3 linked regions of the Nothobranchius furzeri genome follow. The protein of the gene in region 3 purifies or fractionates together with the protein of the main gene of each other region. This does not show direct contact. Links are inferred from orthologs where the notes say so. Each region holds a gene or a part of one and is shown on either strand. Other genes may lie near its edges. The genes, in order: pdgfrb, rack1 and proto-oncogene tyrosine-protein kinase Src.

Region 1 (10,656 bases), on a different chromosome or scaffold from region 3:
GTAACAATATACAATATGGGTCCATTTTTTAACATCACTTAGTGCATTATTAAGCATTAATAAACAAAAGATCCCTTCATTAACATTCCTAATATTGTTAACTATTTGCGTCCTTGAGGCTAGGACAAAGGGCCAGTGGGAGGGCTGCTCAGTAATACATTACTTCATATTTACATTAATATTAAGCAGTTGTCAGTACTTTAGTTAATAGTTTATTAATGTCTAATAATGTACTAAGTAACATTAATTAATGAAGCCCTATTGTAAAGTGTTACCACGTTGTTTTTCTAGCTGTATTTATCGTATAATTCATGAAAGCTCAAGTTTTAGGTGAAATTTATCTTCAAAGCCTTCTGCGAACCCCCCCCCCCCCACCCCCCACCCCCCCCCCCCACCACCACCACCACCACACACACTGTCCATTGGTCAACATGAACCTTCATGTTGCAGAAGCTAAACATAATTTTTCCGTTCATTTCAGAGTTTCAGAATTTTGTCAGATAAGAATTTATTTTTAACCCTTTAGTCTTAGATGTAATCCTCTTGTCAGAGCACATTCTTCATCCAAAATACAACTTAACTTATGATTGGTTAGCGTTCATGATGCCAAACAACTTTTGCCTTCAGCCCCATCGAATTCTGTTGTCCTCCTCACTGACACTGAGGATACAGTCTTTAGCTGAGCGCTGATGAATGGCTTCCTCGCTGAACGGGCCCGGGTGACTCGCTGCCGGGGCCCCCAGGGATGAGGTGACCCCTCTGCTCTGGCCGTCATCACCAGCAAAGTCCCGAGTGTATCGGCGGTCCTGGGAAAGTTTCAGATTAAAACTGTGGGAACGTGAACTGTACTCTGAGATCAGTGACAGAAAGGGAAGGAGAGGTGTGTGTGTGTGTGTGTGTGTGTGTGTGTGTGTGTGTGTGTGTGTGTGTGTGTGTGTGTGTGTGTGTGTGTGTGTGTGTGTGTGTGTGTGTGTGTGTGTGTGTGTTTGTGTCTGTGTGTGTGTTGAGAAGGGGGTATGTGGGCTGTGATGTGTGTGTGAGCAGAATGGATTATCTCTCAGTGAGAATGTTTAGGTTTGCATCAACATCGACATCGCAGTGAAAATAAAAGTTCCTGCTCAGGATTCATCTGTCTCCGCGTCACCTCTCGTTATTAGAACCAGGAGGCGGGGGAGGAAATGGACCACTCTTGTTTTTGGAGCTGCTCAGAACCTTTGAGCTCTTCGATTTGGGAGCGGAAGTGCCAAAGGCAGTTAATTTAGGGAGGTCTGGTTTGAATAACCGACTTTACTCCCAAGATGTCTTTCACAGTTTCATATCTGACGACAAAGCCATGAAATTATTTAACACCTCCTAAAAAGTGGAGCTTTAGAGACTGTTCAGCAGTCAGATCTGGGTTAAGATGCTGACCACATTTAAAACTGTCTGATTTATTACATAAATGCACTAAAATAGTCCTGAATCCTAAAATAGAAGTATGAGGTAAGAAAAAACGTGAAACGTTAAATTGGGAAATATTTCTCGAGAAACATTTCACAATTTATTTTCCACTGGCTCACGCTCTTCCTCCTCCACCCGCGCTCTTCTCAAGACTCACTCTTCCACCCTCTTTCTTTCCCACCCACTTGTGTACAGGCCTGTGATCCATCCTTAACTGTTTCCAGACGTCTGCATGTTTCAGGCCGAACCCCCCCCCCCCCCCCCCTCCAAATATAACAACAAACCCCTCCTCTTCCATCTCCTCTGGCCTCTGCACCACCATGAAGTTAGTAGTTAAAGTCAGAGATGAGATGGTGACGAACTCCACTGAATCAGGTCCTCTTAGCTTTTGTATTTGCATCAGCGCACATGAGAAGTCTTGCAAAACCCATGGCAACCTTTCAGAATTGCCCTCCTGTCAGAGTGAATGCCTTAGTTTTCACTTTTTGTTTACCCCAAAAGCCAATTAATGGCTCAGCGTGGCCGGAGAATAGCTTGGACGCAGCATTGTTGCCAGTGAGCGTGCTGTAAAGCTGCACACAGTGACCCGTTTGTTAGTGGGCAGAGTGGTGGTGAACCAGCAACACAAAGACGTGGGACATTGTTGCTGTGTCCCGGTGCAGCGAGGCATCAAATACCACCAGAGCTCAGCTGCATCTGCGCTGAGACAGAAAGCGAGCAGCTTTCTTTGGCAAATGATTTGTGATCTTAACAAAATGTCTCTTGAACCACTGGATGGATTTTAGTGAAACTATCAGAAAGTATTTGCTGATCATCCATCTACTGCTGAGAGAGGCCACCAGCGCAGCTGCACAACCATGGCTCATGCAAAAATGGCTACAACTCCATCAGCTTTGTAGTTACAGGTGTGAACTTGGTGTGGAAGTAGCTGAGAGTCATTCATAATAGACACCGACTGTGTGAGATGTAGCATGAGATTACATGTAGGATTGTTTTCAAGCTTTTACCAATTATCAATTATACCTCCTTCAAGAAACACCAGGTCTGTCATTTAGGGTGTTTTGTTTTATTTTCAGTGGGCAAAAATATGTTTCTTCTTTTGTTTTGCTCACTTTGACTGACATCTGTTACCAGTTTTGACTTAATGTCACACGACCTGCGTTTTAGCAATCATTTACAGCGTGAGGGTCAGTAATTTACCAAAATGACTCGTGGGATTTCTCTGATTTCTGTTTGCAGAACAAGGTGGTCATCAGGCAGCCACAATGAGGAGGGTGACAGCATCCGTGCTCCAGCGGACAGTTACATTCACAGGTGAGGGTTACAATCCAATCTAGCAACAAGTGAAAATGAGGGGTTTGTCTTGCAGGAGAGCAAGACCTGTTTTCAGTACTTTTAAGGCAAATTAATGCAGTTAAAGGGGACATATTATTACCTTTTTCATAAATTTTAAATAGTTCTGTGGTCAATAAAAATAAGTTTATTGAGTTTTTTTGCATAAAATCCCTCTCACATAAAGCTAACTCAGCTGTTTATTCTTGACGTTTTCAGAACCTTCCAGAATGAGCCGTTTCAGGGCGCTTTCACTTTATTTCGTAGGGGCAGCAGTAGCTCAGGAGGAAGAGCGGGTTGTCCATTAATTGGAAGGTAGCAGGTTCGATTCCGACTCTCACCAGAGATTGCTGCCGTTGTGTCCTTGGCGAAGAAGCTTAACCCGCCTTGTGTGCTGGTGGTGGTCAGAGAATAGATGGCGCCTGTGTTCGGCAGGCCTCGCCCTTGTCAGTGGTCCTCAGGGCAGCTGTGGCTACATCGTAGCTCATCCCCACCAGCGTGTGAATGGGTGTATAGCTACGTTTACGTGCTCCAAGTTTCCCCAATCCGATTCAAATCTAGGTTGATCGGAAATCTCAAATCTCTGTTCATATGGACACTAACTGAAATTATCCGATCATGCCGTGAGTATACTTACACCAAGCATTCATTCAGATTAAATAGGTTGAGCGTGTGTAGAGTTGTCTTTCCCGGAAAAAAAAACATGTAACCGCACATCTTCTCCCTCATATTTTATTTTCTTATTCTCTTTGAGCGTTGTTCGTTAACTTACGTTCCACTACTTTTGCTATTTCTGATTTCACACACAGAGACTTTTTGAAACAGCTTGATTTAGCACATAGTTGCTAAAACCAAACACTGAGAAAATGGATGAACGGGCTATTTCTACGTTTGGAGTGTTTATAGAGGTGACAGAGACCCACATGGCAGCACAAAAGTTGCATAATATGTCCCCTTTAATGTTTATTCTCAAATTAAACAGACAGTGAAACAATACATACATTTTAATCACATATTTTATAATCACAGATTATTTCCTTTAATTAATGGAAAAGTATTTAAAGTGTAATTTGATGAGCTGAATTTTGACCTCAGCACATAGACTGTAGATCAGCTGTGAGAAAACAAACGCTTTGATGTGAAGGATAAATGACGCATTCTGAATGATTTTTAATCCATCTGTCACTGAATAGCCGTCCTCATCCTCCTACTCATCTGCTCCAGACAGCTTGTATCCATCACCGGGTGGAGATAGACCAGGATCTGACTTACACTGTTGACTTGACCTCTGAACTCGTTGCACCATGTATTTGAGCCCCTCCATGCTGACCTCCTATTTTGTTGCGTAAACTGCAGCTTTGGTGCTTTTCTGCGCTGAAGTTAGCAGCCTGGAGATCAAACCTGATGGCAAAGCGTTCGTCCTGAATCGAGGCTCCACTCTCAGCCTAACCTGCTCCGGATCCAGGGAGGCAACCTGGGCGTTTAAGACAGACGATCTGAGTCAGCGTCTAAGAGAGGGAGATGAATACGGACGACAGATTTACAAAATTGCGCAGAAAAATCTGACGTCCAGTGTTCTGACTCTGCGGAGTGTGAGCTGGAGGCACACTGGTGTGTACCAGTGCACTGATGTGATCACAGGGGAAACCAAAGAGGCGGTTGTGTTTGTCCCTGGTGAGTTCTGCTTGTAATATCTTAATATTCCTAAATGCTTTCTGACAGCTAATGAGCAAACTCACGTCTCGCTGCAGATCCTGAGGTGTGGTTCATCAGTCACCACGGCGCGGTAGCAAAGACCAGTGAGGAAAGCACCATCCCCTGTGTGGTCACCAACCCAAACATCACCGTCACGCTCCACCAACAGGACAGCGGCCGGCCAATCAGAGGCCTGTATGTTCCTGGAGAGGGGTTCAAGGTGGCGCTTGAGGACAGGATGTACGTGTGTCGGGGAGAACTGAACGGGGAACTGAGAGAGTCTCAGAATTTTAACGTCTTCAGCATTACTGGTAAGTTTCCAGGTCAGACAGTTCAGATTTATTCAGTCTGAGCCCAAAAACCCAAAAGAAATAACTCATAAGAGAAGAAACGGCAAGATTTAGTACCAGAGTTATTTCCTTTGTGACAATCGCTATTTATTATGTTGTAGTACTTTTAAAGAGATTGAACCAAAGAGGTCAAAGGTCAAATGTAGCTCTGACTTGTTAGATTCAAATGTTGTTTTTAACGTTTGCTTTTGTGCAATTAGCTGATTAATGATGACTGAGGTCAGCTTGTTGCCCCTGTGATTTGTTAAATCCATGCTCTCCCCTCCTCTCCGTCACCCTCGTCTCTCCTTCCAGTCCCCAAGACCATCGACCCCTACATCAACGCCACAAAGACGGTGCTGAAGCAGGGCGAAGCGCTGACTATAAACTGCACAGTGCACGGAGTGGAGCTGGCAGATTTTTCATGGGATTTTCCCAACAGGGAGGTGAGTGGGAGCGGAGCAGAACAAGAGCTTTTGTTTCAGCTTTCTCCTTGTGTTGTTGTTTTTGTGATCCCTGTGCGGCCTCCTGACCAAACCCAAAGTGCATCAAGATGTGAAGACACACCTCGATCCTGCTGTGTAAATGCTTTCACAACATCAGGAGTGGAGAGTGACCTGTTTCTTCCGATGTCTGTTATAGGGGAACCTTGTGTTTTTTATTCACTGTTGAAATCATCTGTTAAAAGGCAAATTAAACAATTAAACTTTATTGCTAACGCAGGATTCAAACAAAGATTGCACCTAAAACTATTTTACAGATTAAAAATGACCCCACAAAGCTAACTTGTGTAAATTTGATCCTTCTGGTTTCCCTCTCTCCTTTAGCTCATGGAGGTTGAGCCTCAGATGGAGTACCTGCCCATCGCCATCATGCGCTCCTGGCTCCTCTTCCCTCAAGTCACCGTAGCTCATAGCGGCACGTACGAATGCCACGTCATTGAAAGTGTTGTAGGACACACAGCTTCTGCCAGCATCCACATCACCGTGCTCGGTTAGACACACACACACACACACACGCGCGCACACACACACACACACACACACACAAACACACACAGCTAAAACAAACTGATTCTCTGAAGATTATTATTGGGTTTGGCTGACCGACTCTTATGTTAACACTGGGATATTAAAGCAGGAGAAGGGCTGTTTAGAGGAAATGAAAACCCGTTTAATTTGTTTCTGCGGATTATGTCAAATAAACTTCGGCCCCAGCGTGAAACCCCCGAGTGATTACCTTGAAGCTCACACCTGCAAATCAGAGGGAGCAGCAGCTCTATATTTAGACTTTAGGTGAGGATGTGTTTGTGTTTCTGGGAATTTTCTTTAAACAGAAACTCATATAAATTTACAACACAGGACTTGGAGCCAATAAAAACAGGATTCCTCTGACTGAACTTGTTTTTTCTCGTGCTACGTCCACCCCTGCATGCACGTTGGGGGTGTGTTTGCTTACTCCATCTGCAGCGAGGTGTGTTATGTTTTAAAAGACCTTTAAATAACTCAAACCTCCATGTTGGATGGAAACAGGAGACCAGGGTTGTTGTTAGTTTTGTCTAATAGACAGGTCTGCCACCCAACGCGGAGGCCAGATGAGTTTGATTAATGTCAAACTTTGCATATATAAAAGCATTACACACATATTAAATGTTTTTATTAGGCATATCACATCCCGCTCGTTAAGAGAAGATTGTGGGAATAATTTTGGTCAGACTCAACAAAAAATTCTCCACTGTTTTCTTCTCACAACATTTCTGGCCAGAAGAAGTGAACAGAACCTGAGAGGATAAACACTTTCCTGGGGGCTTGGGGAATGCGGCACCTTAGCCCATCTCCTGCACACGCCTGTACACGGTGGCTCTGGATGTTTCTACTCCAGACTCAGTCCACTGCTTCCGCAGGTCCCCTAAGGTCTGGAATCGGTCCTTCTCCACAATCTTCCTCAGGGTCCGGACGGTCACCTCTTCGTGTTGTGCAGCGTTTTCTGCCACACTTTTTCCTTCCCACTGAGGTGCCTTGATACAGCACTCTGGGAACAGCCGATTCATTCAGAAAGTTCTTTCTGTGTCTTACCCTCTTGCTTGAGGGTGTCAATGATGGCCTTCTGGACAGCATTCAGGTCGGCAGTCTTACCCATGATTGCGGTTTTGAGTAATGAACCAGGCTGGGAGTTTTTAAAAGCCTCAGGAATCTTTTGCAGGTGTTTAGAGTTAATTAGTTGATTCAGATGATTAGGTTAATAGCTCGTTTAGAGAACCTTTTCATGATGTGCTAATTTTTTGAGATGGGAATTTTGGGTTTTCATGAGCTGTATGCTAAAATCATCAATATTAGAAACAATAAAAGGCTTGGACTACTTCAGTTGTGTGTAGTGAATCTAATATATATGAAAGTCTAATGTTTATCAGTACATTACAGAAAATAACGAACTTTATCACAATATGCTAATTTTTTTGAGAAGGGCCTGTGCATGCACAAAAAATACCACAACTCTAAAGGAAAGCTTATCCTGCAACTCAATATAAATATTCTGATTATCTGATTGTTGCTGATGTCAGCTAAGATATCACTCAGATAAATAAATCAACATCTTTTTCTAATTTTATTTAAAATACATTAAAATTAACTATTTGTAGGTTGTCGTGTTGTTATGCCAACTTTAAGCTCACTGGCAGGTTTAGAATTACAGTTACTGGATGAAATAAGAAAGAAAACATACTGCAAATAACAAAAGTTTCATAAAACATTTATATAAAACCAGCAAATGTAGATGATTTTGTGACTATGGAACATATTTCAGAGCTGAAACAGAAGAAATGCCCTCACTAAAGCACATTCCCAGTTTGCTAAATGTTTTAATTTAAACACAGATGCACTACACGTGAGCAGTGGTTCATTCCTGCAGACGTGCACTGTTTGCATGTTTCTGACTAGAATAGAAAAACAGACATGCAAGAAATACTTAAAAGATTAAATAGAAAATGCTTTACAAAGGCTTGTTTTCTTCTCAGAACACGGTTTTGTGGACATGAAGCCCATGCAGCATCAGAGGATCTCAGCCAAGCTCCAGGAGAACGTGGAGCTGAGGGTGGACATCGAGGCCTACCCTCCTCCTCAGATTCTCTGGACCAAAGACGGCACCGCCATCAAGGGAGACACAGCCATCCTCTCCAGACAAGAGCATGAAATAAGGTGGAACAGCTCATCTAAATGCCTCCTTATATTTAAAGAATTATCAAAAACTTTGGACAGTCCAGGAGCCTCCAGAGGCGATCTGTCCGTCACCACCAGATGAGACCTCCACAGAGAGAAATCCAATCCTCTCCAGAGGGAAGGAAGCCATCTTTCAGCGCACAGGAACCATAAACACTAAATACCTATCACAACTCCCTAATGACCCTCAAACGCTCAACAAAGCCTGGGCTCTTGCCTTTTCAACCAAAACGATCGAATTAAATGGGATTTTAAAAGTTCATTGTTGAAAAGCCTCGAATCAATCAGTAAATCAGAAAAGTTCCTGTCCAACAGTTCTGCTTTTGGCTGAAATCGTCAGAAGATCATGTTTGATTATTGAGACGTGTTTGTCCTATTAATGGTGTTTTTCTTCTTTCTTTTTTCTTTTATTTTTTCTTTTATTTTTTCTAATTTTTACAAATTATTCATGTAGGTTAATCATTCATGTTAGAAATGATTGGAAAACAACATACCATATTTCAAATTTTTATCTAAACATTCCCATAAGAGACGTTTTTCCGTAGTCCCTGAGAGCCTCTCTGATGGAGGTTCTAACAAAACGTTGAACCTGTGGACATTTAGCTCCAGACAGAAGTTAATCTAATCAAACCCAAGAAACTCCTGAAAGATCGATGATTGTTTTTATTTTCCTGACAGCTTGTTCATTTGGCTTTTGCCTCAGGTATCTCACCATTCTCACCTTGGTGAGGGTGAGGGCGGAGCAGAAAGGCCTCTACGCTGTCCTCGTTACCAACGGAGACGACACGAAGCAGGTTGTCTTTGACTTGGAGGTCCAAGGTGTGAAAAAGTTCTCACAAACTCTAGAATGTTTAAATATTTGACACATTTTTGTTGTTTTTTTTCTCCACAAACATGTTTTTAAAGTAGCGTTTGAAGGCAAACTCAGTCATGATTAAAGCCTCCGCCTCCATGTTTGCAGTTCCAGCTCAGATTAAAGACCTGACAGACCACCACCTCCCAGGGCAGGGACACTTAGTGACCTGTGTAGCAGAGGGGTTTCCAGCTCCCATCATACAGTGGTACAGCTGTGACAGCATGCTGAAGTGAGTCACACACCCCCTGAGAACACAAGAGGGCTCCACTGCTGCTGCAGCTGTTCCCATCTCACCCGGTGTCCCGCTTCAGGTGCAACAACCAGTCTGCTGTGTGGCAGCCGCTGACCCCGCGACCGGAGGAGCTGAGCATCCAGACCAACGCCAGCTACAATGAGACTCATAAAATCATCCAGGTGCGCAGCAAGATGGTCTTCCTCAAGCCTCAGCACTTCACCGTTCGCTGTGAGACCACCAACCGAGCCGGACTGGTCAGCAGGAGGGATGTCAAACTGGTGTCCAGCAGTAAGTGCCACAAGATGTCAGACCTTTTATGTGTCATTTACACTTAGATAAGGAACACCTGAAGATTAGGAAATGCATTTTTATAATACGTTTATACATGTGTTTCTAAGCTGAATATTCAGCCCCTGGTGGCATTTTTAATTGACTCTTTGATGTTGGGCTAAAACTTTCCATCTTCAGATACGTTTTTGTCAGTAAAATCTGTCTATGTACAATATATATAAAGGCTATCATGTTTGTACCACAGATATCAGATCAGCTACGTTTTAAAGAAAATGTGTAATCTTGTGTTTACATTTGGTTAATAGTTTTTGACCCCCTTAATTGGTTAATTCTCCGTAAACCACAGACAGACGGATGCAGAGCTGACTGATGCACAAACATAAAGTTTTTCAAATGTAGTGATCTTTTCTGTCTCTGGTGTCTGTGGCAGCCTTGTTCTCCCAGGTGGCAGTGTTGGCTGCTGTTTTAGCCTTAGTGGTAATCATTATCTTGTCCATCATCATCCTCGTCGCCGTGTGGAGGAAGGTAAGACACTCCTCATCACATAAAAACAAACAGATCAAAATTATTCCTTCTTCCTCATGGCTCCTTGTTGTCCTCTTCACCCGTGCTAACAGAAACCACGCTATGAGATCCGATGGAAGGTGATTGAGTCCGTGAGTGTGGACGGACATGAGTACATCTACGTGGATCCCATCCACCTGCCCTACGACCTGGCCTGGGAGATGCCCAGAGACAACCTGGTCCTGGGTGAGTGTGATGTACCAGGAGTTGGAAAGACCTGTTTGTGTTTATTTTAATGTTAAGAAAACAGAAAATAAACAAATCACAAAGGCACAAAGTTAAAGAAAATGTTTAGTTGTTTTTTTTTTACATTTTAACCAAAAATAATGCTTAAACTTTATTTCCTACATGTGAAAAACTGATTCACGCCATTTTTAATTAAAAATAACTTTGTTTTAAATGATAATAGAAAGATACGATCTTTGAAAATGTTATAAAAACAGGATCTGTTTTTGCAAATGAACTCTTCATTTTTATAAAGTGGAAGGAAAATGACCATCCTCTGAATTCTTGTTGCTTTTACCCAGCTTCCACACTTGTTACAGCTGTGGTTTATTTAAAGAAAAGGCCTATTGATGCTGACTAATCTGATCATAGCTATGGCAGTTACAGGATATTTATGACCCATGATCAGCAGAAATAATCTCTTCTTAGAAGCTGCCTTTTTTATTTTTTTTATTATTCAATACAAAATGACCT
Region 2 (10,756 bases), on a different chromosome or scaffold from region 3:
TTGGACGAATGGACTTCTGTTGGTTTGTTTTGAACAGCTGGAGGTGTGTGTTGTCAGTGCTCTCTTGTCCTCTGTTTTCTATAAAAAGGAGGAAATGGCGAGGCAGAAGCTCAAACGCAAGCGTCTCTCTCAGCCTTGAGAAGGGGGTGGAGCCTGTCGGAGGAAGAGGACAGCACAGGACTGGAAATGGGAAACCTTAAAGAGCATACTGGCTTTTTTTCTGAAACAGAGCTTGCTATCTTGATGCCTCTGCGTCACACTCAGATCGTCTGTTGTGGAATCGGTCCAGGAGGGGGCGACAGAGCTCCACACACACCTCAGAGGGGAGGCGGGATCTGTTGCTGATGATGTTGCTCTTACAGATTTGAGTTATTTGGGAGTCTCTGGCACATAAGGAAGGAGTTTGCCGTGGAGATATGTTGGACGTGTCACAATGATGTTTTGTATGACTTTATTAATGCATGATCATCCCCGTGTTGTTTAGCATGCAGATTGTGTGACTCTCACCACAATGAACAAAACAAAACATATTGCTTTATTCTTTTCCATTTTTCTCCAGTTCCAGTTTGCATTCCTGAAATTTTCCTTAAATATAAGCAGACGATGAATGTTAAAGGGCAGGTCTGAAGGAACCATTTGCAGTATTACTGATCAATCATTGTAGCCTTGAGAAATAATCACCCTCATCTGATGCATTTTGACTGATTATTTAGTGTTTTAACATCAAAGGAAGGTGTGTTTGATCTCTGCTTCCAGCCTGTTTTGGACAACAGTAGAACTTGTTGCTGCTGACTTCAATTTGTTTTGAAACTAACATGAAATTTGATTGAAACGTGTGTTTTTATGAGTTCATAATTCATTTTCACTAAGCAGCGTGCCTTAAACTTGTCATTTGCTTTGCATTTTATACAAACCTTTGTAACTGCTCTCAGAAAAGTCTTTGCCTTTGTTTTTTTACCTGGGTGTTGCAACACATTTCTCTCGGATGGAAAATCTGTTGGTGCTTCTTTAATTTCAAAGCTATTTTATGAAACCACTTAGAAAAGGCACGCACAGATGCAGAATTTTATATAAAAATCTGCAACAAGTGCACTTTCTGGTTGGTACTGATAAACGTTTATGTCAGGATCCACAGGGATATTGATGGAAGATTAGGTAGATTTTTAAATAAAGGCCCTGCTGCTTTCCTTATTCAGTGTTACTCTGATGGAGCCTCATGGATTTGCTTCAGTCATGCTGCAGATTTCTAATTTCTGCTGTTTTATTGGATTCTATGTTTTTTATTATTTCATCTTGCTAAATAATTTCTGTATCAGTCTTGTTTTAATTTAAGTTTATTGAGGATTTGTTTATTAGAAAAGAGTGTTTCAGATATTAAGCTGAAATCAACAAATTCAAAAACGTACACGATGGGTGAAACATTTTATTTGAACACTTGTGTATAACTGAAGACGATTTAAAGATCAAGTTTTGCTGTATTTCAGTGTCAGACGGTAGTTATCTGTTGCATATCTTCATATGTGTTTATTTCTTTTACAGATTCTATCAGCTCCTTTTTAAAATGTTGGTTTATTGAAGTACGTTCATGGCACAGTGTCTGATTGGAGTTTCACATTGTAACAGATCTTAATACAACAGTATTAGCTAAACTTTGTGTGAATGTTTTTACTTTTGGTTGTGTTCATTGGTTGTAAAAGATTTAAGCTATTTTTGTAATTACTTGTCCAAATATAAATATATATGTGAAATAAGTAAAACAAAAAATCTGGTCCGTAAACATGCAGACAAAAATAAACTTTAAAGTGTTATGGTTTCATTTTATCATGCTAATGTGTCTTTTCCTTTTTGGTCGTGAGGGCAGCTTGAGCAGAGTTCTGTCTGTGTAGGTTTATCTAATTCCATTATTTTGTTCTTTTCCAAACACAGTGATAGATATTTGTTATTTACCTTTTTACAGACAGGTTTAGGCTACATCTGTAGCCGTTTTCATCATTGGTGACGCTCTGAAGAAGGCTACAGATGTAGCCCAAACTTGTCACCAAGAAGGTAAATAACATTTCTAATACTCAGTGTTCAGAAAAGAACCAAAGATGGAATTGGCTGAGCTCTCACTTCGGCATAAGAAACCGCTACAATGCCCACATCACTTTAGATGCAACACCAATCCTATTGATCGCCCACTACATTTTCCCTCACTCATTAGGAGAAGGCATTCTACCCTTTTCTGACTCAAGACCATGGTCTATGATTTCCAGGTGGGATTCTCATTCCGGCTGCTTCAAACTCACCTGTGGCCGAGATCACGGTCTGATGAAGCCAACAGGAACACATTATCTATAAAATGCAGAGAACTGATCCTTGGGCCACCAAAACAGATCCCCTCAACACCTTGGCTGTGCCTAGAAATCCAGTCCATAGATGTTAGGAGCAGAATCTGTGACAAAGGGTAGCCTTTGGACAGAGTCCAACTCATGGGAATGAGCCCAACTTACTGCAGAGTCCGATAAATTTTAGTGGCTGGGCTGCAAAGTGAAACAGCAGTCCACGGGGGGCGCTCATTACTGGCCTCCATCCAGGCACGAATGGATGCAATATCTGCATCAACATCCTGGGCCTGGCTCAAGTCCCCCATGGTCCAACCATGAAACAAAGGAACACATGTACCTTCTCAGTCTGCTTTACAACACGTGAATCAGTGGGAATGTTCTGATGTATTGTGTCTGTATGTGTGGAAGTGTTTTGGTCTAGACTCTAGAATATTTGTGTTGGGTGTAGGGGTGCTTTGACTTACCCCCACTGGACAGACTGTTGTGTCAGCCCGCCGGTCGCTCTTCCACCCCCACTGGACTCAGCAACAGAAATCTCCCATCAGAATCCAAGCTGCACTGGAATGCCAAATGTGTAGATGGGTTCGGAAGTTTGCATAGGCTAGACAGGTGGCATGGTCTTCTGGAAAGACTATCAGCATTTGTGTGCACCCGACCCGGGTGATGAACGATCTCAAAGTCATATTTGGCAAGCTTCTCAAGCCAACGAGCTAACTGTCCTTCGGGCTCTTTCATCTCTGTAAGCCAATGCAGGCTTCCATGGTCTGTGCACACCTTAACCCTGTGGAGGCAGGCGTTGCTGATTTGCAATGTTAAAACCTACCTACCTGATGCTCCACATACATATTTCATGAGCATTTTTTAACTTAGAAGTACCCCTGAAGGACTTAGTTGTTCGTCCTTTTATCAAAACTTATTTTGAGCCTGAGAGGGTTAAAGGGCTGCCCCAGGAGATACTGGCGGAAATGGGAAGTGAAATCCACAATGGCCAGCAATTGACTAGTAATTAAAATTGCGCCCACATTTTCTAAGTTAACACACATCTCTTTTAACAATGGTAGTTTTTGCATCTTTACAGTTCCCCTGCTTCAGAAGTTGAGGGCTTCCAGGAGCTCCCTCTAGCTCACCCATATTTCGAATGTTGCGTATAGCACAAGTTTGTCACGTGAGTTGCTGAATCCTAGCAGACAGTTGCCTTTCAAAATAAAATAGTTCCCGGATCTTGTTCCAGCAAGATCTGGCTCAAATTAAGCCCTGTCTACAAGTCTACAAAACACGTAGATTGGTTGGATGAACTCCTGTGCACCCTCTATGACCCTGCTAAGGGTATAGAGCTGGTCTAGTGTTCCACAGACCAGGAGAATATCACATTTTCCTCCTAAATCTGATTGATTATCCAGGGGACCTTTGTCTCTGGATCCTTTGAAGAGACTTTGCCTGCTAAGCTCAGGAGTGTTTTCCCCCTGTGGTTGGAGCACACCATCCAGTACCTCTTTATAAATAGGGGGATCATCACCCCAGTCTGTCAATCCAGTGGAACTGCCCCCAGTATCCACAATATTTACTGTGCCGCATCAACCAACACAGTCCCACAACATCCAGCGCCTTGAGGAACTCCAGGCGAATCTCACCCACCACTGGAGCCCTACCACTAAGGAGTCTCTTAACCACTTTGGTTGCCTCAGCACTAGAGACTTGATAGCCCAAACCCCCAGAATTCACTTCCTAAATGGAAGATGTGCCAGTGGAATTGAGGAGGTATTTAAAGTACTCTTTCCACTGACTCACAACATCCCAAGTGGAGGTCAGCAGTACACCATCCCCACCATAAACAGTGTTGGTGGTGCAGCTGTGTCACCCTCCTGAGACATCAAATGGTGGACCAGAATCTTCTCAAAGTATGAAACTCCTCCATGGCCTCATCAAACTCCTTCCAGCAGGTATTTTCTTCCTCCACCACCTGAACCACACTTCACTTGGTATCTGGTGCCTCAGACCAAAAGACTCAACAGGCACATACTACTCTGTGGCCGTAGCTCTAGTCAGCTGTTTCAACTTTTATTTTAGTAAAATAAAGCAAATGACTAAAGAAGTTTGAAAATGACATGTTTTAGAAAGTAAAACGTCATCTGCTAGGATGATCAAGTCTTACAGTGAGAGGAGGCTTACCATACAATTTTTTTCTAAGCACACAACACTGTTACCAATATTCTCACTTCAGCCTAATGTAACAGTGTTGAAATAGTGTAGCTGTGCAGTAGTTTACATATAGAAATATCAGATTATTCATAAAACATACCAGTAGAAAGCCTGGAAATTGAAGGATTCCAAATGTTGTTCAACATGTGAGATAAAACATTAATTATTTTGTAGCGTGGCATCATTGTCTTGTCTGTAATTGGCCTTTTTTTATTAGGTTATATGTTTTTATGGTTGTTTTATATTGTCTTATTTGTACTTGTTGCCTGCTGTATTGTCCAGCACCTTGGGTGTTTGATGAGATTGTGGAAGGGACATTACAATCTTCTGTGCATTCATTCTGGGTCTTTTTAACTTGTATTTTTTTTTTGGTTCTCTTTTAAACACAGGAAAGAAAAGTTTTCTTCTCTGTGTTTAAAAAAGAACCAATAAATAAATAAATAAATAAATACAAGAGACTTTACAAATAAAGTGAAATGAAATGAAAATTCAAATTTTAAAGATTGTTTGTTAATCAGTACACAAGTATAGAGCAGGCATGTATGTGGCCCTCATTTGTCGCCCTTGGAGCAATTTATGTCACTGTCGTCCCCCCCCCCCCCCCCCCCAACATTGTATGTTCAAACTTAATAGTCCATTTTGACAAATTTTAGGGAGTACAAATGCAAGAATAAATATTTTTAGCATTTAAAAAATGTATATGTTGTGGCCTACAAGGACAGTTAACTTGCTGATTTTGGCTCTTATCTAGGAAAGTTTGGACATCCCTGGTATAAAATATATCAAGGCGTCAACTTTAAAGCCGCCTTTCACATGAAAAGAAACAAATATTATGGGATTAAAGCTCGTGTGTGTGTGTGTGTGTGTGTGTGTGTGTGTGTGTGTGTGTGTGTGTGTGTGTGTGTGTGTGTGTGTGTGTGTGTGTGTGTAACATAAAGTATAAAAAATACGGACGTTTGTAAAATATAGAATATTCTAAAATCAGAAAATTTGTGTCCATCACAGACATTTTATTTTACTGGTGCTATGTTTCGTAAGAGCTTAATTTCCTTTATTCATTCAGACAGAAACATATCAGGGATGTGCACAGCTGTTACCAATAACCAAATCAGTGTGTATTACTTATATATAATGGTGATGTGTTGTAAGTGAAATGTTTTATCATGTTTCTAAACAGTCCCCTTCAGTCTTTTCTTGTAGCACACTTGGATGACTTGGGGAAAAAAACATATCCCAGAATGCTCTGCGAGCCCTTCACCCCTCTTAGTTTTTGCATCCGGGTCTGTACTTCCTTTTCCTCCGTGCCTAGATGCGATGAGGACCTAGGTTTTTACGAACCTGAGAAATATCCGAATCCATCCTTGTAAAAGGCACCACCGAACCTCGTCAAAATGACCGAGCAGATGACAGTGAGGGGGACCCTGAAGGGCCACAGTGGATGGGTCACCCAGATCGCCACTACCCCTCAGTATCCCGACATGATTCTGTCGGCGTCCCGAGGTGAGGCTTCCCCCGCCGGCAGCCGCCAACATGGCTACAGCTAGCTTTGTAAGCTAGCAGTGACTCTTTGGTAATGTTACAAAAATACGATTTTTGCGGAAGTGGCAGAAGACCGCTGAAATGTGATTACAACAGCCTAAAGGCTCATTAATCGCTTATAGTGAACATTTGCGACTTCAGAAGTGGAGGAAACCTGGTGTAGTTAAACTTGTGCTTTCTAGCGTCATTAGCTGGATCTACTGTGTTTCACTCCTGGGTTTACACCAACATAGCACCGACACTGATTCATCCAGTTAAACATCAGACTACTTGACATGAGGTTATAAGGCCTTGAACCAAGCGCTGCAATGTGATATTAACTTGATATTAACTTAAGTGCTAGCTTCGCATGCTAATGCTACCTACCTGCTCTTTGCTTTAGGCAATACTCCTGAGTCCTGAACCTTATGTGTTAAACTTTCAGACAAGTCCATCATCATGTGGAAGCTGACTCGTGACGAGACCAACTATGGGATCCCTCAGCGCTCTCTGAGGGGCCACTCTCACTTTGTAAGTGATGTTGTCATCTCCTCGGATGGACAGTTTGCTCTCTCAGGCGCCTGGGACGGCTCCCTCCGACTGTGGGACCTCACCACGTAAGTACAGCTAGGAAGAAAGCTTCTACATCAGATCCGCTGTCCTGTAAATATATCTCTTTACCCGTTTACCTGCTCCCAACATATTTAAATGTGTGAGAGCATCTAGAGAAGTCAACTTAGGAAGGTTGTGATGAAATCAGTTAATCTGGGTCCTTTAGAGCAGGAAACGTGTGGAACTTGCAGGATGGTACCCCTCAAGGAAAAAAGTTGCTGACCCTTGATCTGCATCATCTAAGCATCTATGTGGAACACAGTTTAAACTAGTTAATGCTTTTCTTTTTAGAAATAAGTAAGTTGGTAAAGACTTGCATGTTTGTATTAGCTGGAAGTATGTCCTTTCTAAATTTAAGTTGTAACAAACATCCTGGATAGTTTTAAAGATATGATTTGTCACCTTTGTTCTATAAATGAAAATGTGTTTGAACCGATGTTAACACACAGTCCGCGCTAATGCGTATTTGTTACTAGAGCTACAAACATTTCAGCACTTATGACCTCTAAATACCAAGTTGCCAGGGAACATAACTTAAGCCATAAAACAGTTGGGAAATGACATCTAGTTAAGCTACACCATGTGTAAACCCAATCTTGGTGAACAAACTTCATTTGCGTGTACATGACCGTGCAACAGCTTTTTATACTAGTGTTTTGTACCACAGATAGAACTTCAGTAATCTCGCACTAAATAATAAACAGCAGACATTTAAAAATGCAGTTATATACAATTACAATGTTTGTCAGAGATCCTATAAAATAAATTCTCCCAGTTTCTTGTACCCGACACTGTTGTTCCACAGTGTTATTGTCCTTACTACACCTTCATCACTTTATACACTCCTTAGTTGTGACTTAAGAGAACAGTAGATCTAAATAAATGGGTTTGGGGTTTATACAGGAATAAAACTACAGTCCATGTTTGAACAGTTTTAATCATCTAAGTGAGGAGCTGGAATTTGATTCTGGCTAAAGTGCTGGAACCCGATATAAACTGAACCTAAAAAAAATTGTCATTGATCGGCATTAAGGTTTGTGTACTAAAGTGATTTGTTTGAATACAAGTGGGGAAAAAAACTGTTTTAACTCCTTAAATGACTGTAGCTTGTAGAGGCCATAATTAGTAGAGGAGGGCAGGCATTTTAAACTGTAAACTTAATATAGCTTTATTCTAATCGGACGTCTTAATCTTGTGTTTTTCTAGTGGCACCACCACCCGTCAGTTTGTTGGACACACAAAGGATGTTTTGAGTGTGGCTTTCTCTGCTGATAACCGTCAGATTGTATCTGGCTCCCGAGACAAGACCATCAAGCTGTGGAACACTCTTGGAGTCTGCAAGTACACCATTCAGGTGAGCTGTCACTTAATGCTGCTGCTGCTGCTGCTTAGAGCTGTTCCTTCTTTGGTTTTCATTTAGTTTTTGTTCAAGCTTTTTTTTTTTTTTTTAACTAGTTTTACATTTTCTGAGGTAGAGCACACAGCTCAGCCATCAGCTGGAGCATTGTGGACTAAATCTGTATGATGGTTTTAAGTGTGTAGTGTGTCAGGATCATGGAATAAGTCTCGGTGGTTACATGAGCTAAAGTGAGCCATTGTTGGGATGAGCTGAACTTTAAACTGTTCAAACTTGATTTTGCAGGATGAAGGCCATTCTGAGTGGGTGTCTTGTGTTCGCTTCTCCCCCAACAGCAGCAACCCCATCATTGTCTCCTGTGGCTGGGACAAGGTGGTCAAGGTATGGTTTACTAGTAATTTGCTAATGTTTGGTCCTGGTTAGATGGTTTAACTTAGTTTGCATTTATTAGCTGACTACTTGCGTAAGACAACCTTTTTTATGATTAGCTTCCATGTTGGATGTTGATGTTTGTTCTGTCTCGGGTGTGATGCCTCTCAGGTGTGGAACCTGGCCAACTGCAAGCTGAAGACCAACCACATTGGTCACACTGGCTATTTGAACACAGTGACCGTCTCCCCTGATGGCTCTCTGTGTGCATCTGGTGGAAAGGTAACATCTGCTTCCAGTAATTGTAGATTTCTGTAAAATGTTCTTTTTTAGAATCTTTAAGTGAACGGACAAGTTTTTGCAATGATGGAAAATTAATCATACATCTGTTTTAAAATGATGACAATAGAGGCTGTTTCTGAGCACGACTTGAACTTGTCACGATCCCCGTTTGTGGGGTTGGGTATCGTGTTAAGAGCTGCGATGTAATCACTGAAGAATGTTTTCTGTTGGTGTTCAGGATGGCCAGGCCATGCTGTGGGACCTGAATGAAGGCAAGCACCTGTACACCCTGGATAGTGGTGACACCATCAACGCCCTTTGTTTCAGCCCCAACCGTTATTGGCTCTGTGCCGCCACCGGCCCCAGCATCAAGATCTGGGTAAGATGTTAAGCTAAACATGTTATCAAGGAGGACTGTGATGAAATTTAAAATGTTAGCTGTATTGTTTGATGATATCAGAGGCTGTTTCTGAGCTCCGACCCAATAGAGAATGTCAATAAATTCAGGTATGTTACTTATTACCTTGGTTAGAGATACCATCACTCTGGTTCTCTTTTACCTCATTCAGGATCTGGAGGGCAAGATCATTGTGGATGAACTGAAACAGGAAGTGATCAGCACGAACAGCAAGGCAGAACCGCCACAGTGTACTTCCCTGGCGTGGTCTGCTGATGGACAGGTACGACACTCTCTGGAGGACCTTTAAATGCAGATTTCTGTTGTGACCCCTGTGATTATACCCATTCACTTTTAACTCTGATTAATTCTGCTGACAGTCCTGCAAATATGAGGGGCACCAGAGAACCACTCACATGATTGAGCCTTTTTGAAAAGCGTGCTATTATGGATGCTAACTTCTGTTCCTCTTTTACTCAACAGACCTTGTTTGCTGGCTACACTGACAACCTGATCAGAGTGTGGCAGGTCACCATTGGAACACGATAAGAACAGCCTTGCTAATGCAGCTTTGAATAAAGAGACTCTTTGAAAATAAAATGTTTTGATCTTGTATTTAATTTTGACTGTTAAATTGTTTTTTATCAAAAGGGAACATCGATCACATCGATTTAAAAAAATCTGCTGAAACAATGATCAACAGTAACGTGAAAAAATGATTGAAAAATTAGGGAAAACTAAGTTTCTGTATTTATTTATTTTACTTATTTTGCCTTTATTTAACCAGGTTGGTCCCATTGAGATACAAGATCTCTTTTGCAAGGGAGACCTGGCCAAGACGGACAGAGCAGCAGCACAAGTTACAAAATTAATACATTCACATTTAAATACATTTCCACATAAACTCAATTAAAACAAACACACTGATGGTCTGGATTCCAGTGACCTAATCAGTCAAATCCACTCAAGGAAACCAAATCCTTGATTTTTAGATCTTTTTGTAGTGAATTCCATGTTGATGGAGCAGCAAAGCTAAAAGCCGACTTTCCCAGCTCTGCGAACCTTAGGAACAACAAATTGCAAAAGTTCACTTGAGCGGAGATTGAACTGATTCTGCTGTGAGGATGGAAACATCCCTATCAGCTTGGACCAGTTTTTATTAAGTGAAATGGGATTTAAAGTCTGAAACATTTCTATTTTTTAACACTGTTCAAATAACTGCTTGTACATTAAATCTTGGCTGCTAATCTGAAATGGAATACAGAATTAAAATTACACAAAAAAAAAACCATGGGACAACCGGTCATTAAAATTTTGATTTAACTGGTGGTTTTCTAAATCTGGGGCTTGTAATTTGGAAAGTTCAACTGACGTTTGCAATTCGCATGGATTGTCCTACTTCAGACGCCGTAATTGTATCCTAGCAACTAGTCGACAGAACGAGCCCAGAGTGCTGCTCCAGGTTGGAGTTCCTTGTTTAGTTTACTGCTACATAGTCAAGTTTTGCGTGAGCCGTATTTCGTGGCCATTTAGCGTTCAGATGAAGATGGATCGTAAAAGGCCATATCACCGTGTCATCGTAGAGAAAACGCTGGCCGTCATTAAGCCAGACGCGTTTCAGCTGGCAGATGAGATTGAGAATGTTATCGTCAAATCTGGCTTCAGTATACTTCAGGTGAGTGGAAGTCACCTACT
Region 3 (10,656 bases):
AAGTTACAAAGTAAAATTCAATAAAACAATCAGTCTTCCACATCATTAAAGGAGGAATACTGGCCTAAAGAGGTAAACCTCAGTTAGCTGAAGTCTCCTCACTCTTTGTAGGCATGCCTCTCTTTATGTCCTACCACAGCATTTCAATTAGGCTGAGATCTAGACTTTGACCCATTAGAACCCCTTGATCCTTCGCTTCAACAGCCCCTCTGTTGTAAATGTGTCCCAGTGTTTAGGGTGATTGTCCCAGTGAATGTATGAGTCTAAGCCAAGATCCTGCTGTAGGACAAACGGCCTTACATTCGACTCTTGAAATTCTTTGGTGAACAAGAGTTCATGCTGATAATGACTCTAGGAAGCCCAGATGCTGAACAGCAAGTCTCCTTCATCATCTGCCCTTCACAGTACTAACAGTGGATATGGGGTATTTGTGCTGATCTGCAAAACTTCATTTTGAACAAAAATCTCCACTTTGATATCTTCAGAAATATTTGCACATTTCTGATTTTTATACTGATGTTGCTTTACCACTCAAAAGATGTAAGCTGTGCTACCATTCTCTTATTTTTTAAAGATAAGATGCTTTATCCTGGCTGCCCCTCCAAACAAGAAGCTTTTGTTTAGTCTTTTTCCAACCACACTTAACTGATTTCAAACTAAAGCCGGGCGTACGCTGTGAAACTTTTTCCACTCGTAGGATTCAGCTCTACCTCAAACCGTACAACGTTCTAGCAGAGCAAACTTCACGAGTCATGTTCTCACACTGTATGACCCAATGCTCAGATGTGACCTGACTGCTCACACTGAACATGTGGTAGAAGCACTTTGGTCCTGAAAATGTGCTAAAAAATACTGGTTTTTACACAACATGTTGGGAGTTAGTTACTTTGAGTCCGAAAACCCGGAAACTACATGTGCGTTAGTCTGATATCTTTCAGGCTTGTCACAGGACACACAAAGGTTTATGGGGTTGGAGAAGGAAGATTAAAGAAAGGAAATAAACTTTGTTTTGGGATCTGTTTTATTTGACATAAACATGGAAAACATGTTTTCTTGAGACTCCTTGCCATTGTGGGTGGAGACAAGTGTAAGATAAAAGGAAACTACGTGTGTTGACACAAAAATGCCTGTGGAGCCGGGTTGGCGCATGCGCTGTGTGAGCAGTTCTGGTTTTTCTGGGTCTCAGTGCTGCTTCAACAGTGCAATACCCTCTTAAAGGAAGAGCAAAATATCAAACATGTTTGATATTCATGTGACTGCACGGTTGCTGATCAGGAGCTGGTCATGAGGTGCTACTCGCCTCTCATAACCCCCTGTATACTTCACAATGCAAAACTCACCCCAATCTTAAAGATTCTCGCAGGAGAGGAAAATTGGCTCTATACGGTAAAAAAATTGCCTTGTATGTCTGAGATGTGTAAATTCTAGGAAACTCAGCTGAGCATGTGGATGGAAGAGGAGGACAAATTCATAATGTTGCAGAAGCTTGAAGGCGGGAAAGTAATAGAGTGACACAGTGATTGAAAGGGAGCCATAGAGCTTCTGTGGGACAAGTGTGATATGATTGAAGAAGGGGGTTCTGGAAATGCTTCAGGACAGCCAAGTTTTGAGTTTGTGGCTGGACTTGTCAGGTGGACCAAAAAGAAGGGAGATACAATAATCAAGATGCAATGTAATCAGAGTATGGATCAGTAAAGCAATGGGTATAGGACAGGTAGTACAAGTATGGAGGACAGGTACAGTGCTCAGCATAAATGAGTACACCCCACTACATTTGTCAGACAACCTTTAGTTTCCTTTCAGAATCAACATTTTTTATGAGATACCATATACAATTTCTTCTCTAAAAATTTGCATATTGTGATAAAGTTAATTATTTTCTGTAATGTACTGCTAAACATTAGACTTTCATATATATTAGATTCATTACACAACTGAAGTAGTTTGAGCCCTTTATTGTTTTTAATATTGATGATTTTGGCATACAGCTCATGAAAACCCCAAATTCCTGTCTCAAAAAATTAGCATATTTTATCCAACTGATAAAAGAAGTGTTTTAATACAAAAAAATTCAACCTTCAAATAATTATGTTCAGTTATGCACTCAATACTTGGTTGGGAATCCTTTTGCAGAAATGACTGCTTCAATGCCGCGTGGCATGGAGACAATCAGCCTGTGGCACTGCTGAGGCGTTATGGAGGCCCAGGATGCTTCGATAGCGGCCCTCAAGCTCATCCAGAGTGTTGGGTCTTGCGTCTCTCAACTTCCTCTTCACAATATCCCACAGATTCTCTATGGGGTCCAGGTCAGGAGAGTTGGCAGGCCAATTGAGCACAGTAATACTATGGTCAGTAAACCATTTACCAGTGGTTTTGGCACTGTGAGCAGGTGCCAGGTCATGCTGAAAAATGAAATCTTCATCTCCATAAAGCTTTTCAGCAGATGGAAGCATGAAGTGCTCCAAAATCTCCTGATAGCTAGCTGCATTGACCCTGCCCTTGATAAAATACAGTGGACCAACACTAGCAGCTGACATGGCACCCCAGACCATCACTGGCTGTGGGTACTTGACACTGGACTTCAGGCATTTTGGCATTTCCCTCTGCCCAGTCTTCCTCCAGACTCTGGCACCTTGATTTCCGAATGACATGCAAAATTTGCTTTCATCCGAAAAAGGTACTTTGGACCACTGAGCAACAGTCCAGTGCTGCTTCTCTGTAGCCCAGGTCAGGCGCTTCTGCCGCTGTTTCTGGTTCAAAAGTGGCTTGACCTGGGGAATGCGGCACCTGTAGCCCATTTCCTGCACACACCTGTACACGGTGGCTCTGGATGTTTTACTCCAGACTCAGTACACTGCATCTGCAGGTCCCCCAAGGTCTGGAATCGGTCCTTCTTCACAGTCTTCCTAATGGTCCGGTCACCTCTTCTCATTATGCAGCGTTTTCTGCCACACTTTTTCCTTCCCACAGACTTCCCTCTGAGGTGCCTTGATACAGCACTCTGGGAACAGCCTATTCGTTCAGAAATTTCTTTTTGTGTCTTACCCTCTTGCTTGAGGGTGTCAATGATGGCCTTCTGGACAGCAGTCAGGTCGGCAGTCTTACCCATGATTGCGGTTTTGAGGAATGAACCAGGCTGGGAGTTTTTAAAAGCCTCAGGAAACTTTTGCAGGTGTTTAGAGTTAATTAGTTGTTTCAGAGGATTAGGTTAATAGCTCGTTTAGAGAACCTTTTCATGATATGCTAATTTTTTTAGATAGGAATTTTGGGTTTTCGTGAGCTGTATGCCAAAATCATCAATATTAGAAACAATAAAAGGCTTGAACTACTTCAGTTGTATGTAATGAATCTAATATATATGAAAGTCTAATGTTTATCAGTACATTACAGAAAATAATGAACTTTATCACAATATGCTAATTTTTTTTAAAGGACCTGTAGCACTCCCGCAAATGTGGGCCATTGATTGCAAATAAGATTTGTCCATTTCCACACACAAAAAAGGGATTTTGCTAACAAATCCATTCCAGCCCATGTTGCAAAAATGAGTACACCCCAATTATAGTCTTAGGAAAAAAGCCACACTTAAGACTACAAAATTCTAATGAACAGGCATTCAACCACAGGTGAGTCTAATGATTCATTTAAGAGGTGTCCAGCAGACAGGTGACTATCTAAATGCATTACCTAGCAAAGAAAAGCTGTTCCCATTTCATACTGTCAGCAATGGCGCCACATGGAAGAGAAATAACAAAATCTGAGAAAGAAATCATTTCTTTACACAAAAAAGGTGAAGGCTACAAGAAGATCAGCAAAGCTTTACATATCAATCAAAATACTGTAGCAAAATGATCCAAAGTTTAAGAAAGATGGAAGAGCAACCATCTTACAGAGACGTCCAGGCCATCTATACAAGTTAACACTTCGACAGGAGCATCTTCTGATAAGAAGGGTTGAAGAAAATCGCCATGCAAGTTCACTACAGTTAGCTATAGCAGACCGTTTCCTGTGACACCATACGGCGCACACTGCAGAGGAATGGCATGCATGGGTATTGTCCACGAAGGAAGCTCCTCCTAAAGCCCATGCACAAAAAAACACTCCAAGTATTTGCTAGGGCCCATGCTGAAAAAGATTGACTACTGGGACTCCAGACTCTGGAGTGATGAGACAAAGATCAGTTTTTGGAACTAATGGTTTCAAAACTGTGTGCTGTTGTAAAGGTGAGGATTTCAAAGAGAAATGCATGGTGCCTACAGTGAAACACGGTGGTGGCAGTGTCCTTATGTGGGGCTGCATGAGTGCTGCTGGTGTTGGGGTGCTGGTATCATGAACTCAACAATGTACTACTCTATTCTGAAGGAGAAGATGCTGCAATCACTTTTCCAACACTAGCCTAGTGAACTAGACCAAATTCTTGCTTTGCAAAGAATGGTCTAGACACGCTCCATTGGAACCTCAGCAGCTCCTACCAGGACTCTGGCTGGCCAATCACAGCTCTCTAGAGGGGTTTCAAACACATAAAGAGCTGTGATTGGTCCATAATGGTGGGCCAATCATAGTGCTCTATCTGCTTAGTGAACAAATCACAGAGCTTTATCCGCTTTGTGGGCCAATCAGGGCACTCTATATGCCTGGTGGGTGGGATGATGCCACAGAGTGAAACAAGAGTATGTCACATTCATTGTCCAGTGGAATGCGGAGATCATTTGAAAGACAACGGTAGAACCCGCCCCACAACCGAGAGCCGTCAACGGAGCATGGCCAGACTAAATAATACATTTATTTAGTCTGGCTTGCCAGGCTATTCCAACACGACAATGAACCAAAACACACATCTAAAGCTACTGTTGCATTTCTGAAGAAGAACAGGGTGAAGGTGCTTGAATGGCCAAGTATGTCTCCTGATCTGAACCCAATCAAACACCTGTGGAGAATTCTGAAGCAGCAAGTTGAGCCTCAATCTCCATCCAGCATCCAGGCTCTAAACGAGGTTATTCTTGAAGAATAGAAAACGACAGATGTTGCAATATGTCGCCAACTTGTTCATTCCATGCCTAGAAGACTTGGTACTGTCCTTGAAAATCATGGTGGTGTTACAAAATACTAGATGTAGTAGATTTTGTTGGGGGTGTATTCACTTTTTGCTTCAACCAATTTTAGTAAAAGTTTGTGTGATCTATGTTATATTATAAAGCTTCATTTAATTTTAAGGAGTTAGACAAGTGTTCAATAAATCCCAGCCAAAATTCTGGAAATGGTTCTTTTGTTCATTAAGCAACTAATTAAATTCATACTTTTTAAAAGGGGGTGTACTCATTTATGCTGAGCACTGTAGATCTGAGTGTCCTCTATGCTACATCTATGTTGGTATTGAATGTCATCTTTATGGAAAATATTGTCAATTTAAGGAAGAGGTAGATGATAAACAGGAGAGATCCAAGTACAGAGGCAGGGGGAACACCAGAATTAAGGGGAGGATGGTTGAGGTGTAAAGCTTTAATCTGAACCAAAAATAATTTAATTTATGCCTGTCTGCCTGTATCTGTCCTGTCTATATATGTGTGTGTAACCTTGGTCAGGTTGTACTATGGAGTCAAGTTCCTATGCTCTGATCTGATCTGAGCGCTGGCAATAAAATTCATTCTGATTCTGATTATATCTGAAATGTATTTTTAACTAAATCTAGATCATTTTTTACAGAAGAATTCTGTATGTTTTAATTTAACCATTTATTAGGTCTATATTCAGCTTTCTAAACCTCTTTGTTTTACAAAAACCTGCCACAATCTAATTTCCTACCTGACAGCAGTCCTCTGTAGGGTGATATGACACTTCCCGTGTGGTCCACTCCTCCAAAGAGAGACAGTTCAGGGGTATTTGTCGGGGCAAGCTGGCGCTGCCCTTGTTGTCCCCGACGGCCCGTCCCAACAGCAGGGCTTCGATTGGGGGTCTGGGTCTGCTGAGTGGAGTCCAAGTGGTGGAAGCGTCCGCTATCGGAGCCGGTGCCTATGGTCCCGTCCAGGCTCATGGAGCGCTGGCCTGGCTCCTTGGGCTTGCTTTTGCCCGCCCCCATGTGCAGACCTGGAACAAGAGCCAACCATCAGAAAGGATACGGTAAGACCAAAAGCTGCTACAAAAAGTAAAAGCGTCAAAAATCAATTTTTATGCAAATGAAGGGTCTCTCAGCTTTGTTATGCATTTTTCTTTCATTTTAAATGTGTTTTTTTTATAAGAAACACATTTTTTTGTGTTTCATCATGTAATGAAACACAAAAACATTCAGTAAAACTGGATTTCACTGTGGTTAAAATTATTAGTCTTCTTTAAAGCAAAGAAATATGGTTTTAAAGGATTTTCCTCAGGAACTTTTAACATATTTACCCCCCCCCCCCCCCCCCCCCAAAAGTTGGCAAATCAGTCAACACATTTATTCCAGCTCTCCCGATCCACCAGAATATCCCTGGAGCTGTTCCCAGGTCAGTTAGAACTGCTTGCGTTTACAGTAGACACAAACCACACACACAATCAGAATCCAAGGTCGTGCTTAACGGTTTAAATCAAGTTGGAATCAATAAGCATCAACGAGGTAAACAAAGCTGTAAACAGAAAGCAGCCATGGGTCTCAACGACGCAAAGTATTAATGCTGGTGAGCCGACAAGGGCACAGAGGTGTCAAATATATCTGTTACATCCCGATAAACGCAGCGAGTCGAGGGTGTGCTGTCAGTAAGCACAAAGACAAACAAGCTCACAGTCAAGAGCACCCACAGAAAGTTGGAGAGCCTTGTTCGCACACCGGTTCTGTTCCTCCCCTTCAGGCTCTGTGGAGTGACTCACTGGGAGACCAGCTATTTCAGGCCAGCTGAAACAAGACAGTCATACACACATGAAACACAGTCTTGTTCCTCTGAATTAAAGCACTCTCGATTCCAGACAAGAGCGCGCCAAAGTGCATAGGGGTGGGTGTGTGTGTTCATGTGCATTAGCAGCTGTTCCCTCGCATCTAGGAAACTAGGCTCAGCTGCACACTAGCACCCAAGTACAGTTGTGTCTCACATCCTTTTTTCCTTTCCAACACTTGATAGTTTCCAACACACACCGACAGACAGACAGACAGGACAGGACAGGGGAGGTTATTAACAGACACGGAGGAAGGAAACTGGCTGTGGCTTTAAAAAGAACGTGTGGGTGGTTGTTATGTACTGCCCGGACAGCTGAGGCTTAGTGGGTGTTTAAAGTGTGATGTGTGAGCATAACATAATTACACAGGTATGGGAATTCTCAGAGACATGGCAGCATCCCACTGAGAAGACATGTGGGCGACTCAGCTTCTGAGGGAGCGTGAATGTGCACAAATGTCAACGTGGGGGTGGGGGTCAGGGGTCAGCTTTCGCATTAGGCATTAAGAACTAAGTCAACACTATTAAGAACTAAGTCAACACTGGTTTAAAACTTACCAGAGGCACACGTGCCACACCTAGACTGCCAATACAAGCAAATAGGTAGGATGCTCATGCATATCAGGAATGTATGCAAAAATCCTCTTAAAGGTCATTTCAGGCTGTGTATGAGCGCAGGGCTAGATAATAGCACCTCATACAGAGAGCTAAGAAAGTAGGAAAAATACTATGATTTAGACTGATTACTATGTTGCTTCATCAGTATGCGTCTGCACTGTCAGTGGGTGGTGCCTACCTAAAGTGAGCTCACTTTAAAGGGCCTAAACACAAAAAACATGAAAGGATCAAGAACAGACGAGAAATTCTCAGCAGATACAGATGTTGCAACATCTAGTGGGACATGAGAAGCAACAACAAGTTCTTCCAAGGCTGTAAATAACCTCTGATGACAAAAGAACATGTTTGCTTTTACATCCATGTTCACCTGAAAGCCTGCGTGCAAATGAGCTCCTAAACATGACACATGAGTCACCGTTTACTCAAGCATGACAACCACTCAGATTGATCTGGAAACAGGCAAGGATACATTCCTGAAATGTTTTTTCCCAGTATGCATCAAAGCCAAACTGGATGATCTAGATGAGGGGTGGAACAGCAGCAGGGTGAGAGCTCAAGCTAGCTTGGGCTCGAAACAGACACATTAAACTGACCCAGGGGTCTCTAACCAGCGGCTCTGGAGCCACAAGTGGCTCTCTGGACCTTCCATAATGGTTCTTAATAACTATGACTACAAATGAGAGAAATACAACTGACCCATGTTCATAAAAACAATTTTAAAAAATGCAGATTTAAGTTGTTTTCAGTTTTTTTTATGGAATTGAAGTTCCACAGCAACAGCACTAAAAATACCAGAAGTATTTTTATATCTGTGTTTTATTTGTTTCATTTCCAACAAATCTCAACATGCCATGAAAAAAAAATATCCAAACTCCTTTTGCAAAAGTGTTTGTTTCAAGAAATGATCTCTAGAGTAGACACTAGCAGAAGAGAAACAAAGATCTCAGACTTTATTCTCAGAAAAACCTCAGAATCCTGACTTCTGAACTATTATGTTTGTTGATCACTTTGTCTTAGAGCTTGAATAAGATAAGCAGAAAAATTAAAAGGCTGCATTGATGCTGGACACGTTGTGAATTTTGGTTCATTTTTTTTCTCTTAGCTTTACAACCATGGTGCTCCTAACTATGGATGGAGGGAAACAAAAAAAAAGGGAGTAAAACCATCTACATAAATATATGGACAATGGGTTTCCATAGGCTTCAATAACAAGTTTTTCTGCTAAAATGGGAGGTAGCCACCACCGCCATTTTGACTGTGTCAAAGGTTCCGTCAAGCCCAGACAATTCCATAAAAGGGAAGAGAGGAGGAGCTGAGGGTGACGTTTAGACAGATGTTTGTGCAACTTAAGAAAGACAAAAGAAGCTACTGCTCATCTGTACTCCGTTTGGAGACAGACTTCCAGTTTGTAAACAGCAGCATTAGAAGCCCTAGGCTACGACTTCTGTTGAGTGCCGATTTGGTACATTTGTTTTTGTTTTGCCGCTGCGATCTGAGATGCGCAGAGCTGCCGCTGGGGAGAACCGGGTGCAAAGGTTACCATCTCAGAGCTCCACAAGCCGGCAGCCCGCGCAGCAGACAGAAGCCGCGATCAGACAGAGATGTGCCGAGCTGCGGGGAGAAGTGGCGTATTTTGGCGGTTCTGGCTTGCCATAAGAACCAGCCGTCAGCCCGCGCAGCTAACAGAAGCCGCGATCAGACAGAGATGGACCGGGCTGTGGGGAAGGGATAAGGGTGGAAAACATCGGTCTCCCAAGAGCTCCACAAGCCGATAGTCGGAACCCAGCTCCACCAACATGTTATATTTCAACCCATTTTCTAAAGTGCAGCATTATGTTAAATGCACTGGGTTTTACCCTATTACATTTAAATTTCATGGTTAAACAGTACATGTTAAAATCTAAGCTCAACTCGGCAGTGACCCAAAATACATGAATATAATTTTACTTACCGAAAAAAATGAAGTGGAGACTCCTTGGACGCTCTTTTAGTGCAATTAATGCCACAGCAAGTCATTTTGTCCAACAATTGCACAAAAAATATCCAAAAAAGAATACACACACACAGAGACTCAAAATCCCGGAACAGTTTCCAAGCCAGACGGAGGCTCTACTGAGGCCTTTCCACGGAGCTAGCTCTATGGTCACGTGTGTCGGATGCTCAATTATACAGAATTTTAGGCTTTTAATACACTTAAACAGAAGAGTGAGAAAAAATTCACCCCCCTCATAGTTGTCATGAGTGTAAACTAGATAATTTAAACCAAAAACATGTTTTGGTACCAGGCTGTAAACATGTTTATTTCTGCTGTGAAAATGGTATTTTTAACATGGGAGTCAATGAGGATTTGCTTGTTTCTGACACCAGCCCCCAGCGGATGAGGGTGGAACTGCAATTTATTTCACTTCCGGGTTGGACTCAATTTCAGAGCTGCATTGTGGGGGCCTGAGTAAAACACAATTTAGGTAAAATTTGTAAAAAAAAACATCCCATTATTAGTGTTGTTTCATGGCTCGAGCAATCTGTTCGTCTTTGGAGAGAACTGATGGTTACAAACCAACTAGAATTTGGGAAAACACTGGAATATATCTTCTCCTTAAGCAACGAGGTGCAACAAGCTGAAATAAACAGATTCTGATTCACAAACCTAAGCAGGAAACTTTGATAATCACTATGTTCAAGCTGGTGATGAAGACTCTAGGACGATGACGATACAGCGTGCACTGGTTCAATTATTTACTCTGGTTCTTTCCCAGATGCTGCATTCATCTGAGATGAATGTTTCAGCACCAACATGTTTAGACAGACCTGAAAGCCTCACACCTTTTCCTAATATGGAGTCAGAGAGGTGTAATGCCAATGTGAGCTAACTCCAGCGTTTCGTTGTGAAATGAGTGATGATGGTGATGTTTTAGCACTGGAAAGAGTAAACACATGAGGTAAATAGTAACATAAAAGCACAGTCTTTTAAATGAGGTTTAAAGGTGTGTGACACTCATTTAAGCAATGCATTCGCAGTGGTCACTAGTAGGAATGAATGCCTTGCAAGTTGTACTCTAGGAGGGAAACTAACTAACTAACTAGCAGAATGCCACATCAGAGGAAAACTTAACACAGCAGGATTTGGTGTCTTATT

The links.
Region 1: the proteins of proto-oncogene tyrosine-protein kinase Src (region 3) and pdgfrb purify together in Homo sapiens (affinity purification with western blotting; 4 studies listed by BioGRID and IntAct, with this or other methods). This does not show direct contact. The link is inferred for Nothobranchius furzeri from reciprocal best matches to the Homo sapiens genes SRC and PDGFRB.
Region 2: the proteins of proto-oncogene tyrosine-protein kinase Src (region 3) and rack1 purify together in Homo sapiens (affinity purification with western blotting; 4 studies listed by BioGRID, with this or other methods). This does not show direct contact. The link is inferred for Nothobranchius furzeri from reciprocal best matches to the Homo sapiens genes SRC and RACK1.

What each region holds. Positions count from the first base shown.
Region 1 is NC_091741.1:96,096,360-96,107,015, reverse strand, and holds part of pdgfrb (platelet-derived growth factor receptor beta), read left to right. Parts: intron 1-2,679; 5' UTR 2,680-2,705; coding exon 2,706-2,754; intron 2,755-4,128; coding exon 4,129-4,446; intron 4,447-4,523; coding exon 4,524-4,778; intron 4,779-5,111; coding exon 5,112-5,242; intron 5,243-5,623; coding exon 5,624-5,789; intron 5,790-7,809; coding exon 7,810-7,990; intron 7,991-8,714; coding exon 8,715-8,830; intron 8,831-8,972; coding exon 8,973-9,096; intron 9,097-9,178; coding exon 9,179-9,390; intron 9,391-9,823; coding exon 9,824-9,918; intron 9,919-10,010; coding exon 10,011-10,143; intron 10,144-10,656. UniProt on the Homo sapiens protein: Tyrosine-protein kinase that acts as a cell-surface receptor for homodimeric PDGFB and PDGFD and for heterodimers formed by PDGFA and PDGFB, and plays an essential role in the regulation of embryonic development, cell proliferation, survival, differentiation, chemotaxis and migration.
Region 2 is NC_091741.1:97,230,347-97,241,102, reverse strand, and holds rack1 (small ribosomal subunit protein RACK1), read left to right. Parts: upstream 1-5,805; 5' UTR 5,806-5,917; coding exon 5,918-6,026; intron 6,027-6,489; coding exon 6,490-6,661; intron 6,662-7,862; coding exon 7,863-8,010; intron 8,011-8,298; coding exon 8,299-8,394; intron 8,395-8,553; coding exon 8,554-8,664; intron 8,665-8,902; coding exon 8,903-9,043; intron 9,044-9,233; coding exon 9,234-9,344; intron 9,345-9,544; coding exon 9,545-9,610; 3' UTR 9,611-9,661; downstream 9,662-10,756. Other genes in the region: col23a1a (collagen alpha-1(XXIII) chain), read left to right, coding at 89-139; nme5 (nucleoside diphosphate kinase homolog 5), read left to right, coding at 10,602-10,736. UniProt on the Homo sapiens protein: Scaffolding protein involved in the recruitment, assembly and/or regulation of a variety of signaling molecules. Interacts with a wide variety of proteins and plays a role in many cellular processes.
Region 3 is NC_091743.1:58,647,370-58,658,025, reverse strand, and holds part of proto-oncogene tyrosine-protein kinase Src, read right to left. Parts: intron 6,866-10,656; exon of another isoform or gene 6,772-6,865; intron 6,085-6,771; 5' UTR 6,077-6,084; coding exon 5,803-6,076; intron 1-5,802. UniProt on the Homo sapiens protein: Non-receptor protein tyrosine kinase which is activated following engagement of many different classes of cellular receptors including immune response receptors, integrins and other adhesion receptors, receptor protein tyrosine kinases, G protein-coupled receptors as well as cytokine receptors.